Ovis aries: one gene and its partner. The protein of the gene in region 2 interacts with the protein of the main gene of each other region in a pairwise test. Links are inferred from orthologs where the notes say so. Each region holds a gene or a part of one and is shown on either strand. Other genes may lie near its edges.

What was found. The genes of interacting proteins can lie anywhere in the genome.
Region 1: the proteins of IPO13 (region 2) and PAX6 interact in a two-hybrid assay, tested with the Homo sapiens proteins (2 studies listed by BioGRID and IntAct). The link is inferred for Ovis aries from reciprocal best matches to the Homo sapiens genes IPO13 and PAX6.

Annotation. Positions count from the first base shown.
Region 1 is NC_056068.1:61,381,357-61,385,007, reverse strand, and holds part of PAX6 (paired box protein Pax-6), read left to right. Parts: intron 1-2,060; coding exon 2,061-2,219; intron 2,220-2,670; coding exon 2,671-2,753; intron 2,754-2,982; coding exon 2,983-3,133; intron 3,134-3,229; coding exon 3,230-3,345; intron 3,346-3,651. UniProt on the Homo sapiens protein: Transcription factor with important functions in the development of the eye, nose, central nervous system and pancreas. Required for the differentiation of pancreatic islet alpha cells.
Region 2 is NC_056054.1:18,594,838-18,598,488, reverse strand, and holds part of IPO13 (importin-13), read right to left. Parts: intron 1,633-3,651; coding exon 1,492-1,632; intron 1,402-1,491; coding exon 1,260-1,401; intron 1,169-1,259; coding exon 1,002-1,168; intron 793-1,001; coding exon 672-792; intron 586-671; coding exon 438-585; intron 9-437; coding exon 1-8. UniProt on the Homo sapiens protein: Functions in nuclear protein import as nuclear transport receptor. Serves as receptor for nuclear localization signals (NLS) in cargo substrates.

The sequences.
Region 1 (3,651 bases), on a different chromosome or scaffold from region 2:
AGGCACATGTGAGTGAGCGGCTCCCCAAGCCCCACCTTTCTGATGTAGCGCCAGACTACCCGAAGTAGCCCATTTACTAAGTCTCTGTCTCTCTCTTATCTCCCTTCCTCTCTCCCCTTGTCCGCTGACCCTCTTGTCTCTTTTCCTCTCGGCACTCTTTTTCTGTCCTTCTTGCACCTTTCTGGCCTATTCCTCTTTGGAGCCTCTTTCTAGCCCCACCTTTCTCTACCCCCTCCCCTCTTCTCCTCCCTCAACCAGACCTCTGCTCCTTCCCCTCCTGTCTCCCTCCCCCCTGGTCATCATCCGCTCTGCCTCTCCTCCCCGCTTCCCCCCACATCCCGTCCTCATCCACCTTCCCTGTGCCCCCCTCCACCCTCTGCCCTGGCCCCCCATCCACCCTCCAGCCCCCAGCCAAGCGCCCTAAATAGCATTGAGGCGCCTGCTCTTCGGACAGTGATTAATGATAGCAGAGCAGAGGGGTTAACACACTTCACTGAAAAGTCTGTTGACTGGGCTTCTTGTAACACAATGTGGCCCGCTGCACGCCTCAAGAGAATCCTTTTGTTGTCCGCGCTCATTGTGGCCTCGAAATTCTGCCCACGAAAGTTTGCCAACGCTCCTGCCCCAGGAGTTTAATAGTTTCCCTTACTCGCGGGGCATTGTGCTGTGCTGAAAAGCAGCCCCTCGCTATTCAAGTGTTGGTGGTCATCTCAATAGATCTCCAAGGGCCCATATGGTGGCCAGTGCTGATGAATCCGCCTGTTTAAATGGGGGAGAAAGTTGGGGTTTTAAAACATTTCAAAGTTCCTGAAAAGATCCCACTAGATCCTGTCACAATTCCCTGAACTCTTTGAAGGCACTGCCTATTGTCTCCCGGTTATAAATGATATTCCTGGCCAAGTCGATTCCCACCAAGGCGCCCCAGAGGCTCCTCCCCCCAGGGCCAAGTCGCTAGGATGGGGAGGGGGGCAGCCTCGATTGGTATCTCTTGGGGGCCTTAGGACCCAAGACCAAGGACCCAGGAGGCAGTGGCCCTGGAGGCCTAGTGAGAACTGAATCCTTTCCTCTCCAGCAAGGCGCAAAAGGAGACAGCTTGCCCAAGTGCACATCTTGCCCTCCAAGCAGCAAAGGAAAACAATAAAACTTTCCCCTGTTTAATGATAGAAATTACATTAAAAGTGGTGGAAATGCCCTAATTAAAAATGTACCACTTAAATGATATGCCAAGGATTCAGCTGCAGCATAGCATATTTAGCTAGTTAGTGAACTCTCTACTATTTCTTTTTTAAAATTACACGTTAAAAATTTAAAAGAAATCTTACTTTTCTCTGGTGCAACACATTACAAAGAATGGACAGTCCTTTTATCTAAATATAAAATTCCATTTTCAGCAATTATAGCCTGTTCTTGGTGATGATATAATTACAGCTGTGCTCGTAATAGGTGTCAAGGCAAAGCGCACTCATACAATAGTTGAATAAAACTGCAGAACAATGCGAGCACTTCTAAATTCACAACCTTTAAAATGAAATTGACTGTGCAGAATTCAAATAAAAACTAGATAAATATTTTTTTTTAAGATTACAAGCTTGGTTTGGTTTCTTAATAGCATTTTCTACAAACCTATCAACATCTAATTGATTAGGTAGGAATTACTGATTATAGATCAGCTGAAATCTTGAACATTACTCTTCTATTTTCCCAACACAGCCACAGGTAAATAAATTCTGCAAGGAGAGGGAGCTGGGTGAAGCATGTGGAGGGTCGAGGTTAGTTATGAAAGATCATTTTAATTGGAAACTTCACCACTCATTTTGTCATTCACAGAAATGCCATTCTACAAGTATCTATGTTGCAGAGTCTCATCATAATAAAAACAGAAAATGGTGGTCAGGTAACATGTGTCACTAATGTCTTTTGAAGGCTGACAGTTACCTCGGGAATGTTTTGGTGAGACTGTGAGAATAGACTGCTCTTGGAGTTTATGGCTGTGTGAGGCCCCTTTTGGAGACTCCAAGTTATTCCAAATTTCTCTTACTGTCCTGTTCTTTTTGGTCCAGATGGCTGCCAGCAGCAGGAAGGAGGGGGAGAGAATACCAACTCCATCAGTTCCAATGGAGAAGATTCAGATGAGGCCCAAATGCGACTTCAGCTGAAGCGGAAGCTGCAAAGAAATAGAACATCCTTTACCCAAGAGCAAATTGAGGCCCTGGAGAAAGGTGATGGAGTTTTTCAAAGTAGAGAAGCAGTAAATCAAAGTAAATGCCACATCTTCAGTACAAAGAGCTAAATTTAGTCAGGGCCCTTGCACAGAGGCCTGAAAAGGTTTCCTTTTTCTTTCTTTCTTTTCAGGGCATCTCTTTTAGTGTATGTGTTTTCTTTCTTTTCATGTACCAGTAATTCAAAGATGAAAAATCTGACTTCTCATAAAGAAAGAATGATGATTTGGCTAATTCAGGCCACAGAAGAGACCTTGAATGAATGTCATTAAACAAAAAAATAGAACATGGTTCTGATGGGATAGTTCTTCCAAGTACAGTCAATGCTAATAGTAGTAGCATTTTAAAGGGAATTGGTTGAAAGTGATGGAAGTCAGGAGGTGGAAATCAGCTTGATCCAGGCTTTTGTGTAGTTCTGGTACAACACAGAAAATGCAACTTACTCTTTCAGAGTTTGAGAGAACCCATTATCCAGATGTGTTTGCCCGAGAAAGACTAGCGGCCAAAATAGATCTACCTGAAGCGAGGATACAGGTACCAGGGGACTGTGTGTTCATGTGTTCTTGTGACTCATACCATTTGCCTTTTTTAGAGACCCAGGGGCTTCTAAGGAATGTCCTTTGTTTGTATAAATAGAGACAGATTTAGTTTGCTAAATGCTTAGCTGTCACTCGGGGCCTGGGGGAGGAGGACAGTGGCTCTGTCAGGGATGGGGCGGAGCTGGGAGCAGGCACAGGGCTCACCTGTTCTGTCTGATTTCCAGGTATGGTTTTCTAATCGAAGGGCCAAATGGAGAAGAGAAGAAAAGCTGAGGAATCAGAGAAGACAAGCCAGCAACACACCTAGTCATATTCCTATCAGCAGTAGTTTCAGCACCAGTGTCTACCAACCCATCCCACAACCCACCACGCCTGGTAACTGGAGATATTAATTCTACTGATCAGTGTGTTTCAGCCTTTTTGTCCTTGGCTCTGACTCTCACCACGACTGTTGTGTTCTTCTCCCTGCAGTTTCCTCCTTCACCTCTGGCTCCATGTTGGGCCGAACAGACACAGCCCTCACAAACACGTACAGTGCTCTGCCGCCCATGCCCAGCTTCACCATGGCGAATAATCTGCCTATGCAAGTAAGTGAGGCCGGTGGTTGCCCACTTAACGGGTCCCTGGGAGAGGAGGTTAGGCGCAGGTTGGGGCATGCAGACCTCATTGGCCCTGTGTTTACCCTTGGGAGACTTTCTCAGTACAGTGATTGGCTTGACCAGTGAAGTCTAAGATGAAAGCAGTCAATCCAGTCTTTTAGTTGATTGATTAACTGATTGATTCATGCCTTTAATAAAACAAAAACTTGATTTTCAGTCCAGTTAATCTGCTTTTTGCTCTTTGGGAATGTCAGCTTGATGATGTTGGATGAGAATGGGGCATGCTTTAGGGAC
Region 2 (3,651 bases):
CAGAGCTCCTGGAGGAAGAAGGGAAGACATCTGAGGCAGGCCAGGCTGGCTGCGTGCCAGGTCCCTGCAAAGCAGGCAGATCTGGCAGGGTGGAGCTGGAGCCCCTGAACAGAGAGAGCGCTGCGTGTTCAGAGCATGGGATGGGCAAATATGCACGCACGGGCCCAAACATGACCTTACTGCTGCTAAGTGGGAAGGAGTTACTCGGTAGAGGCCCAGCGGCACTGTTTCAGTGGCAGTGAAGTAGCCTCACTGAACTGCAGCTCAGCGCACTGTAGCAAGGACCCCTCGACATGCCAGGACAGTCCACTGGTTGCAGTTTCTGACTGTGTGTGCACGCACTTGTATCTCCCACTTTGCACAGGACCCAGCAGGTCGGCTTGGGGCTGCGCACGGTGGCTCTGGGGGTATGCTCACGGGTGTGGGCCAGGGCTCACCGATGGTGAACATGACAGTGTCCGCCAGCTGCACGTTGCTGATGCTGATCCGTGGGATGAGCCCAATGAGCCCAGGCACCACGTCAGAGTAGTTGACATCGATGGTCTCTGCAATGGACTGGAAGCCGTAGAGCAGGGCCTCTGTGTGCTGGGGAAAGAGGATGCCACCGGCTTGGCTGAGGAGGAGGATGTGACAGACCTGGGAGGGCTGAGGGAATCAGGCTGGGGAGGTACCTGCCAGGAGTAGGGCTCCTCTGAGCTGGTGAGCAAACGACCCAGCTTGTCATAGAGGTTGCTGAGGAGCTCGGCCCCCAGCATCTCATAGACATACATGAGCGTGTCTGAGATGTCCACCCTAAGAAGCAGATGAAGGCCTTATACACTGCCTAGATGCCTCCCCCAAGCACAGGAGCCCACCCCGATTCCCTCACAGCCCTGCCAAAGTGCCTAGAGAACAGAGAAGGGTGGCCCAGGATTCAGGGAACCTGGCCTTGGACCCCTCCCCTCATTGCCTTCATTATCTCAGGACTCCCTTTAGAGCTGGGATTGGCCTGCTACTGTCACCTGTAAATCCGGAACTGCTCCTTCTCATCGGAGGACCAGAACCCATATTCTTCATCAGAAGGGAACTGGGCCTTGTGCAGAAGCACATCCACCAGCTGGAAGTAGACTGGCCGGTACACCTGCTGGTACACAGCCTGTTTCTCTGCCTCAAAGGACAGAATGTCATCCTGAGAGAACCAGGGAGGAGAGTTAGCCACAGATGCTGTGATGCCCCTTCTGCCATCACGGCCCAGGTCCACTGAAGGTCACGTGACACACCTGCAGTGTGTACCAGAAGGTGAGGGTCAGGGAGCTGGTGGTCTCGTTGACAGGGAAGTGGCCAGGGATGCCCGTGCAGAACATGATCATGTTGACGAGGGCCAGGAAGCTCTGCCAGTGCTCCACTTGGTCCAGCAAGGCCCTGGGAGGGAGAAGGCATGGGGAGGTCCTTCCACCTCCCTTACTTCTTCGAGGGCCCTGCTATCCCACCTGCAGTTGCCCCTGTCCTCACCGGGAGTGGTTCTCGCCCAGAGCCACAGCAATGCGGCAGATGCCGTGGGAGGTCTCCATGTCCCCATTCTGTACTGCCTGTCGCAGTTGGTCCTGCAGTCCCAGCACCAGTGGGATGAGTTTCAGGAGTGTGTTCACGTACCTGGAGGCAGAAGGTGAGGAGATGCATCAGAACTGTCTGCCCATCTCCCGCCAGCTTTGGGAGAAAGGCACAATCTCTCTGTTGTCCATCAAAGCCCCCCTTTCCACATCAAACCCAAAGCAAGAAAGAGATCAGGGGCTAGGCCTGTGTGGCAGGTTTGACATTGCCCAATTTGGGAATACGTTTAGGTCAGAGACCTCCAGGAGAACTCTGGAAAGGATATACAAAAAGGTACATGTAGCTGAACCTGTGTCCTCCAGTTGGACTTAGAGTTGATGCTTGAATGGCTTAAGACTTTTAGGGAGGTTAGGATGAGGTGAACGTGTTTTGCATGTGGAGAGGACAAATAAATTTGCAGGGGGCAGAGAATAAGACAGCTATTGATTGAATTATGTTTCCCCAAAAAAGGTGTGTTGAAGCCCTAACCTTAGTAGCTCAGAATGTGACCTGATTTGGAAACAGGGTCACTGCAGATTAGATCAGAGAGTAGGGGGTGGCCCTAATACAATATGACTGATGTTCTTAAAAGAAGACATCCATGTAAAGACAGAGACCTACAGGGAGGGTGACATGTGACAACAAAGGGAGCGGCTGGAACTATGCAGCCAGCCAACAGAGCACCAAAGACTGCCAGCAAAGCACCCGAAGCTGGGAGGCAGCAAGGAAGGGTGCACCTACAGGTTTCAGAGGGAGCTGAGACCGTGATTTCAGACCTCCAGGCTCCACAACTGTGAGACAATGAATCTCTGTCGCGTGTGCCAGGGTGTGGTACCTTAGCATGGCAGCTGTAGGAAACTAATACATACCATCAGTATCAGGGGAGACTGAATGAGGACAGGAGACAGAACAGGCAACGCACGCTTAAGAGTCTTGTTAAAGACTTCAGGAGCCAGCAACAGCTCCAGAGAGCATCCACCTCCACCCTCCACCCCACCCCCTGCCACCAAATCCTAACTCCTAAGGAGTCTGGTGGCAGGTAGGGAGGGAATGAACTCAGAGGGAACTCAGAGACAAAACAGGGACAGGAGGATGGCGAACAGTCAAGAACAACTCTCCCTGGTGGTAATACTTACTGAGACCTGGAGGAAAGGATGGATGGGGACAGTAATAAATTTAACGGCAGGCCACAAGGTGTTAAGTTCAACGTTAGGCATATTGAATCAGAGGTACCCAGGGAAAGAGGCAGGTAGAAGTGTCCAGAGAGAACTGGATATGGAAACCTAAAGCCCCATGGAGAGGTTAGAGCAAGAGACGTAGATTTTGGAATCATCAGCAAACAGCTATGGGAATAGCTGGAAAGTGCCCAAGAATTAAGTGTCGAATGGGAGGAGGGCATGGCGACCCACTCCAGTATTCTTGCCTGGAGAATCCCATGGACACAGGAGCCTGGTGGGCTATGGTCTGTAGGGTTGCAAAGAGTCAGACATGACTGAAGCAACTTAGCATGCGTGCATGCATAAGTGCTGAATGAGAAAAGAGGGTCTGAGCCAGAGCACTGAAGCACAGTGACCCCTAAGGAAGGAGCAGAGGAAGCAGAGTACACAAAGGAGACTGAGAGAAGGCTAGCTCCATCCCCAGCTGCCTGCTCTGTGGAGACTAGACTAAGCAGAGGAAGTGATGCTCTCAGGGGGGATCCCTCTACTGCCAATCATGGTGTCACCATAGCAATCTATAGAGGGGAGGCGGTACTGAAGATCCAGCAGGAGTTCTATCTGGACTTGCCCCAAGCAGCTTGCTAGGAGGTAGCCCTGGCAAGATAACCTTAGGCAAAGGATGAGAAGGACAAGAGGCAACCAATTCGGGATGCTGGCTTCCACATCCCGGTTCTGGTGGGACAAGGCGTTCATACCAGATTACCCACAGCCCAGAGACAGCTCCAGAGGGTGTGGCCTGGAGACAGTGGGGATGGCTTGTCTCATGGCCCTGACACAGGCTGCACCACAAGACAATGGGCACCTTCAGGCCAGACTCTGGCACAATGAGTAGGGGCAGGGCCAAGGCCGTGGCCGTGAGCTGCCC